2 linked regions of the Kluyveromyces lactis genome follow. The protein of the gene in region 1 interacts with the protein of each later gene in a biochemical or structural test. Links are inferred from orthologs where the notes say so. Each region holds a gene or a part of one and is shown on either strand. Other genes may lie near its edges.

Region 1 (4,274 bases):
TCCATTTTTCTTAATTTTTCTTCAAAAGCAGCATTTCCCGTGGTACACATTAAAGCCATATACCCAATCATTGTATCGGAATATCCGGGTCCGCCTTTCAAAATTATCTTTCTAACATAATTGTTTTCTGGAGTGTGTAAAAATATCGATTCAAAAGCCAATAGGGCAACCTTCAATGTCTCAACATCTGCGATCTTTCCATTTGGAACTTTGTACAGTTTATTTTCTTCTTTGAATACATCAAGTCTCCTTTGTTCTATGGGTATCCCAATATCAATTGGTAGATTTGCAGTGATCCCATGAATTACCAATAAATTGATTAGGGTATCAAAATCCTTCATATCATGTAATGAGATCGGTATTATGTCCGCATTTTCTTGTTGTTTTTCTGCGACTAGACTACATAATCTAGTCAAGAACTTCGCTAATTTTTCTATAAGTTCCTTGTTGCTTAAGTTTAATGATTCGTAGATATCACCAATATCGTCATTATGTTTTATAGGTTTAAGGAATTCATCTAACTCTTGAAAGAATGCATCAATTGGAGTATCGCTTACGAAATCAAGCTTCCTAGATAATACTTCTGTCAATTTATTTGACATTTTGTGAAACCGATGTCAGGTCTTGAAGGCGCAGCTGACACTCTCCCGATGTAGGCGTGATCATGTTGTTCTAAAGAGAGGTGCTCAGAGATGTCCTGAATTATATTTAAAGCCTTTAGCACATCTATTTCGGAGAAAAAGAAAAAGTAACCTTTTAACATGAAAAATTGAAAAGTTCACAGAATTTGGATTATGAGATGAGATGAGCTAAGATATGAACAGAGAACAGGAAAACTACGCAATCAAGCCCAAAATACAGAACGAAATTATTGTAAGATGAGTCTACATACAGGACCTTTAGATCAAGAAGATCAAGAAGCTATCATCGTTGATGCAAGAGCTGGAGATTTGGAGTCTCTTAAGGATATTTTTACCACTTTGATAGATCCAAGTGCACTCATTGAATGTACAGATGAATTGTCTAAGTCATCTGCCTTGCATATGGCAGCCGCCAACGGTCATTTCGAGGTGGTAAAATATCTACTAAGCATTTTCCCAAAGGATAAACTAAAGGAATGGGTCAACAAGCAAAACGAAACAGGTAACACTGCATTGCACTGGGCTTCGTTGAATGGTAAATTGGATATAGTACAGCTTCTTTGTGAAGAGTATGAGGCTGATCCATTCATCAGGAATAATTTCGACCATGATGCCATCTACGAAGCTGAAAACAACGGACAAGAAGAGATAGAAACATATTACTTGAAGAAGTTCGACGTGGAACCCGAATCGACCGAAAATGAGGAAGAAACTTCATCGGAAAAGGAAGGAGAACAAGCCTCACAGCCCGCATCTATCGACAACGTCCAATTTAGAGAAGGTACAGAGATTGAACAAGTGACCAAAGAAGCTACAGAAGCTCTAAGAGAGCAAACTGAAAAGCTTCAACTAGAATAAGTTTCCTCTGAAAATGAACCGTGGTCAAAAAAAAATCATTCGGCTGGAAAGCTGTATTGTGGCCAATTTGAGCATAAAATATGAACCAAATGTCCATGTACATAACTGTATACTAATCATCAATAAACATAGGTACACCTACCTCATGCGCCCAACAAGCGGAGTTTTATCTAACCAGACTCAAAGGCCAAAGAATAGATAAGTCACGTGTGTTACCCGAACACTGAACGTGCACAATGACAACACTATCGCGTGGCCTGGGAAAATTTTGAAAATAGTGAGTTTTCGGAAAACCAAGAGAATTGAAACGACTGGATCGCAATTGTCATCGCTATTCAATATCCTATTGGATTCTTCAGCTCATATTTGCACAAGGGTAAGACAACTTCTGTGGAAATCTGTTGGCAAGAGTCTAGTTCGTGTAAAGTTCAAGGCCCTTTCCGTTATTACTAAGGAGATTAGCAAGAAGCGAGAAGATACAAAGATACTCAACGATGACTGATGTTGCGGCCGACTTAGGATTCGATCCAACGATGAAGAAGAAGAAGAGCAAGAAGGTAGTTCCGGAAGAACTGATTGCTGCTTCCACCGAGGGAACAGATGATCTTTTTGCTGGTTTGAAGAAGAAGAAGAAGAAGAGCAAGGAAGGTGAAGAAACCACTGAGAAGCAAGTGGACGACATTTCAGATGCTCTAGGCGAATTGAAGTTGAAGAAAAAGAAGAAGAAGGCTGCTGCTGCCGAGAGCAGTGTGGATGACTTTGAGAAGCAATTAGAACAAGCAGGTATTTCAGTCGATGATATTGCCAAGGAGGCCACTCCAACTGAAATCGATTCTAGCATTCAACAAGATGTTGGCCTACCATACCAAGACCTATTGTCTCGTTTCTTTAAGATTTTGAACACAAATAATCCTGAATTGGCCGGTGATAGATCAGGTCCAAAGTTCAAGATCCCTCCACCAATCTGTCAAAGAGATGGTAAGAAGACTATATTTGCGAACATCCAAGAAATTAGTGAAAAATTACAAAGATCCCCAGAACATGTAATCCAGTATCTATTTGCGGAATTGGGTACCTCAGGTTCTGTTGACGGTCAAAAGAGATTGGTCATCAAGGGTAAGTTCTTGCCAAAGCAAATGGAAAATCTATTAAGAAGGTATATTCTGGAATATGTCACCTGTAAGACTTGTAAGAGTATCAATACCGTATTGAAGAAGGAACAATCGAACAGATTGTTCTTCTTGGTTTGTAAGAGTTGCGGTTCTACTAGATCCGTTTCCTCCATCAAGACCGGTTTCCAAGCCACCGTCGGTAAGAGAAAGAGAATGTAGATTAATTGATATGACGTATCAAAATAGTAGTATCATTAACATCTACCGAAAAATCAGAAAAAACTTCGACAATCTTCTAATGTTCAATACGATACAGTTCGAAAGGAATCAAATAAACCTCATAAGGCATAGCTAATATATTCATGGTTGAATATTTTCTCCAGGGAGCATCGCATCGTGCAATTCACACATAACATATGAATAACACCAAATACTTGAAAAGAAATGAGAATAGAAGGTATCTTCATCCTTCTTTCACGTTCATTATTAATTTTTTTTCTGTTTGTGTATGTTATCTAATGGTTTTTATCTAATCTGTAATTTAGTTGTTATAAACAAAACGACGAGATCAATGCTCTAAAAGATCAATTTAAATTTAAGCTCTATAATCTGAAACCCTTCCCCCAGTTAAAATATCATATCTGTGCATTTTCGATCAATTTACGGAAAGAAGGACACCACGAATTCACCGACATATCCGACAGCATCCATTTTGTAATTAAATCTGTAACCCGTTTTGAATCGTTCAAGTTGGCGAATATTTCACTCAACGCATATCTTGTGCCCTCGTTTTCCAATACATTTTCTAGAACCTTATCCACCTTAGTTTTATAAAAGGAAAATTCCTTATCTTGTAAGTTACTCGGTAACGATGTGATCCATTGATATTTATCAGACAATTCCTGTTTGCTCAACGCTACGATGGAAGTGTCGAGACTTTCTGTACTTCTTAGTTTTTCACTAACTTTACGCTTCATACTTGGAGGTGGTACTGTTGCCATCCTTGTATTCCCTGAGGTGTCCACACTTTGGGACACAATTCTCTTTGGTGCTATACTGGCAGCGCCCGGATAAATGAAACTAGGACAATCATTGTACCCTGGAATTTCTGTCTCCCTACAGTTCTGGAAACTCCTAGTTCGATTCATTCCGGATGACTCCATTGTGTTAAGTCGTGGTACTACAGCAATCCTTTCTCAAAACAACAGATCGATTTGTTGATTTAGTTGGAGCATATGCGAAATACTCTAAGCTAAGCTAGTTGCTGAGAAATGAATTGGTCGACCTTACTGGTTAGTATTCTCCTTCTCACAGTTGTAAAGATGACAGCTGTTAACAAAAATAGCCTTGTTGGATTATGTACACCTTAAATTTTTTTTTTTTTTTTTTTTGGCGAACATCAGTTGGAAATCCATAAGTACGCATTGATACTCTGACGGTCTTGCGTATACTTGACTCAAAATTATCGGCAAACCTGCGACGTCACCACGCACAGTACACTGCAGAACCGAGTTAGATGGACATTTTACTATTTAGTCTCTGACCGTTTAGTATTTTTTATTATAATATTGTGTATACTGAGAATCTTTGTGAAAAGGAAACCACCAAATCATTGTGTCAGCGAGTTTTGAACTACAAATTCCAGCAACTTGGCTGGTGCCTG
Region 2 (4,693 bases), on another chromosome or scaffold:
CATTGTTTCCATATTATGGGTTTTTGGGAAAGAGCAAGGCTGATGAAATGATTAAGATTTCATTAGGTGTTTTAGAATCATCATTTGAGAAGACAATTGTCCCCTTATTGCATAATTTTAGTGTTTCATGTTACGAAATCCCTTCTTCCATTAAGAAACATTTGAATCCACTTTTAGAGACAATCTCGATAAGATTAACGAAAAAGCAAGCTATACCCTGTTTACTTGAATTTTTAATTGCCTTATCAGATTCCCCACAGATTATTTCTCCATTAACAATTGATCAATTGAAGCGTGTGTTTACCATTGCATTCAAATTGATCGAAGTATCGCATGATTTGAAAGAGGAGGCTGAAGAAGCGGATTTTGTGCGACACTCATTTACAGATGAACAGGAAGCATCTTTCAATCCATCTACCAGTAGTTTTACTGTCACCAAACAAATGGCACATTTTTATCTGACACTATCGTATCAGATCATATCACATTGGTTCATCAGAATTTCATTATCCAAACGACCATTGATAGCACCTTTTTTGATGGTAAAATTATCAACATTAAAACGTTGTGACGATACTGAAGCTTATAAGGACCTTGTTACTAGATTTACTACTACAGATTTAGAATTAAGAGTGGAGACAGTTACTTCAGATACTCCCAACAGTGGAGATCCGCATTATTTACATGAATACTGGTATCGAGATGGTAAAATCTTAAGCATAGAAGTAAACACTACAACCGGAGCATCATTAGTTGTCACTAGAGGTGCATCCGGAAATTCCATCTTCAATGTGGATCCCATAGTAAAGAAGGAACCTGACAGTTTTGATTTATTCCAATTTGGTAAAAACACCAAACCCGCCTCTGCAAATATGTTCACGCCAGGGTATGTTCTTGCACAATTTAGTGCAGAAGATACGTACGAAGACATGGTTCGGATCGAAGAACCCCACTTGATAAAGTCTATTCAGCTTGTTGATACTATCCCAGTGGTCGAATTTCACAAGATTGGATTGCTATACATGGGACCCAATGACACAACTGAAAAGGATATATTGTCACACTCTATGGAGGATGGATCCCATCAATACAAATGGTTTGTTAACGAACTCGGATCAATAATAAAACTTGATCAAAATGAAACTTTTTACATCGGCGGTTTGAATCCTGGTACAGATGGAGAGTACGCGTTGATCTGGCATGATCAAAAATGTCAAATCGTGTTCCATACTGTATCCCTAATGCCTAACGACGACAAAGCAGATCCAGATCGAACAATGAAAAAAAGACACGTTGGTAATAACTTTATCAACATATATTACGATGAACGAAAACAGGACTCGTTCCCGTTTGACATAATCAAAAGTCAATTCAATTTCATAAACCTTGTCATCAAACCAATGTGGAACGGCAAAGATGAAAAAGACTCTGTGAGTGAATTCTATAAGGTGAAGATTTACAGAGCAAAAGAAGTTCCTGGTATATTCTCTACATCCCACTTCAAAATCATGCATAGGCAGCGCCTCGCAGCGTATGTCAGGCATTTATGTACTGTCGCAAACACATTCGCACAAATTTGGCACGAGTCCGTATCGTCAGAACACTGTTCTACATGGTCTCGCAGATTCGCACACATCAAAACAATCAAAACGAGGCTAAAAAATCAATCTTCTGGCGCTTCTTAGCACGATCGCATCTAGTATGGGTTACTGGTAGTTAGTATCTCTGCAGCTTAATACCTGAGGGCCATTAGTAGTAAGTAATGAAACTTAATTATAATAGTTAGGTCACGTGTAGTACATCACTCTTAACGAGCAGATCTAAAAATTTTTCGAAACTGTGATGCGAAGTATCAAAAAATTGAAAAGATTGATCATTGGAAAGCATATACAATATTGAAGCAACAAAGCAATTTCAATATCGGTATACAAAGGTTTCCAATTAAGCTTCGAACTTACGCGAGCAGTCTCTGATACCGAGGAATTTAATTTATCTGTATCTTGCGATAGATAACGATTACAAACAGAGTATACTTTCTTTGAGTTTGTGGTATATCTTCCAATTGAAAAATTACACAAGAATTTATCATCAGAGCCATTAGATATACAGAGCAGGATGTCCACTTCCAATTGTAGGTTTTACGAGAACAAGTTCCCTGAAGTTGATGATGTTGTGATGGTAAACGTCCAACAAATCGCTGAAATGGGTGCTTACGTTAGATTATTGGAATATGACAACATTGAAGGTATGGTTTTGTTATCTGAATTGTCAAGAAGACGTATTAGATCTATCCAAAAGTTGATTCGTGTTGGTAAGAATGAAGTTGTCGTTGTATTAAGAGTGGATAAGGAGAAGGGTTATATTGATTTGTCTAAGCGTCGTGTTTCTGCAGAAGATGTCATCAAATGTGAAGAAAGATACCAAAAGTCCAAGGCCGTACATTCCATCTTGAGACAATGTGCTGAGAAATACCAAGTATCATTGGAAGATTTGTACAAAGCTTATGCATGGCCTTTAAGTCGAAAGTACGGTCATGCTTACGATGCCTACAAGATGTCCATTGTGGACCCTAACGTTTGGGATGGTATTGAATCTATCAGCGACGAAATTTTCCAAGAATTGAAGGGCCAAATCACCAGAAGATTGACCCCACAAGCGGTCAAGATCAGAGCAGATGTCGAGGTTTCATGTTTCAGTTACGAGGGTATTGATGCTATCAAAGAAGCCCTAAAATCTGCTGAAGAGTTGTCCACTGAACAAATGCAAATCAAAGTCAAATTGGTGGCTGCCCCATTGTACGTCATCACCACCCAATCTTTGGACAAAGATCAAGGTGTTCAACTATTGGAAACTGCTATCGCAAAGATCGAAGAAGTCATTCTAAAGTACAATGGTGTCTGTAATGTCACAATGGCTCCAAAGGCTGTCACCGCCACTGAAGATGCTGAATTACAAGCACTATTAGAATCCAAGGAATTAGAAGGTAGATCAGATTCCGAAGATGAAGACTCCGATTACGAATAGATGGTTTAAAGTGAAACCAAAAAAAAAGGAATTAAAAAGATATACTTCTACTGCTTCCTGTTGTTATACGTGTATACAGCGTTTCGATACCTATAAGTCTTTGCATGTCCTCTCTCCATTTCTTACTTCACTTAACATTGCATTATATTTACTGATGAAGATGAAACAAAAACAAAAGGCCATTTTCTAACAGATGTTCAGGTAATAAACCTATGTTTCCACTTGACTGTGCAGAGAACTACTCTAGCATTTGAACAGGTGGTATCTGCCAATTACTGTCAGCCTTTCCATTCGATTACGACTGGACGTTTTAAAGGATTTTTACATTAGGAAACTCCCATTTTCCTTTTTTCTAGTTTCTTCTTATAATAATAAAGGGAAGCTCCATAAATCCTTATTTTGAAAAAAGAGTGAAAAGTCTTTAAAGTACAACGAAACGAAACTTCTATGTAGTAACATTAGCACATCGGGTATTTCATTTAAACGTGTATAATAAACTAATTCGAACGTCAACGTAATTTGCATTTATTCACAGCCTAGTTGGGATCCTGTATGGTATTTCATCGCTAGGCCAGGAAAATAATAAGAAAAAAAGGGAAACACATAGACAGATATAAGTCGCAATAAGATGAGTTCAGTAAGACCAGCTACTCATGCCGGATCATGGTATTCTTCTTCTCCTGCTTTGATAACTACGTTGCAACAACTATTGTCAAGAGACGAAGCGGTTCCTGGGACTAAGCATTTGATCTCTCCGCATGCTGGCTATAAGTACTGTGGGGATACGATGGCATTAGGATATTCCAAACTAGACTTTACTAATGTCAAGAGGTGTATCATAATGGGTCCATCACATCACATTTACTTTAAGAACAAGATTCAAGTTACCTCATTTGATGAGGTTAACACACCATTTGGAGACTTTAAAGTTGATGGTGGACTAAGAAATGAGTTGTTGGTTGGTGGGAAAGTTGTCTTGATGAGTAAAGAAGTTGATATGGACGAACATTCGCTTGAAATGCAGTTTCCGATGTTATGGGCAGCAGCAAAACTAAGGGGTGTGGATCCTACCAATATAAAGATTTTACCGTTGCTAGTATCGCACAATTCAACAAAGGTTGACTTCGAGTTGGGGAAACTGCTACAAAAGTATGTAGATGATGAGGAGACTCTTTTCATCTTGAGTAGTGATTTTTGTCATTGGGGTCGTAGGTTTGGTTATACCGGATATGTAATGGAATCTAGTGATATTGATGAAAGTTTAGAGAATGATAGCGAAGTGGAATATTTGACCCAACGATCTTTCAACCATAAATCCTCACACAACGTCCCCATCTACAAGAGCATTGAAATATTGGATCAATATGCCATGGATATCTTGGGTAAGAATACAGAAAACAAATACTATGATTGGAAGAAATATATTAATGTTACTGGAAATACAATTTGCGGTGAGCGACCTATTGGGGTATTCTTGTGTGCTATGTCACTGTTGAACAAACCATATCAGTTTAATTGGGCTCATTACTCACAAAGCAGTCAATGCGTTGATTTAGAGGATAGCAGTGTAAGCTATGCATCTGGATACTTCTAGTTGATTATCTAGTCTTTATGTGTAAACTGTTTATGAAAGAAATTAGTTCGATTAATAATAATGAACACGATTACC

What was found.
Region 2: the proteins of SUI3 (region 1) and SUI2 form a complex in vitro, tested with the Saccharomyces cerevisiae proteins (3 studies listed by BioGRID). The link is inferred for Kluyveromyces lactis from reciprocal best matches to the Saccharomyces cerevisiae genes SUI3 and SUI2.

Annotation. Positions count from the first base shown.
Region 1 is NC_006040.1:749,950-754,223, forward strand, and holds SUI3 (translation initiation factor eIF2 subunit beta), read left to right. Parts: upstream 1-1,993; coding exon 1,994-2,830; downstream 2,831-4,274. Other genes in the region: RTP1 (Rtp1p), read right to left, coding at 1-602; YAR1 (Yar1p), read left to right, coding at 879-1,499; ADD37 (Add37p), read right to left, coding at 3,247-3,774. UniProt on the Saccharomyces cerevisiae protein: Component of the eIF2 complex that functions in the early steps of protein synthesis by forming a ternary complex with GTP and initiator tRNA.
Region 2 is NC_006037.1:1,019,411-1,024,103, forward strand, and holds SUI2 (translation initiation factor eIF2 subunit alpha), read left to right. Parts: upstream 1-2,115; coding exon 2,116-3,024; downstream 3,025-4,693. Other genes in the region: KLLA0_A11792g (uncharacterized protein), read left to right, coding at 1-1,685; MHO1 (Mho1p), read left to right, coding at 3,653-4,618. UniProt on the Saccharomyces cerevisiae protein: eIF-2 functions in the early steps of protein synthesis by forming a ternary complex with GTP and initiator tRNA. This complex binds to a 40S ribosomal subunit, followed by mRNA binding to form a 43S pre-initiation complex.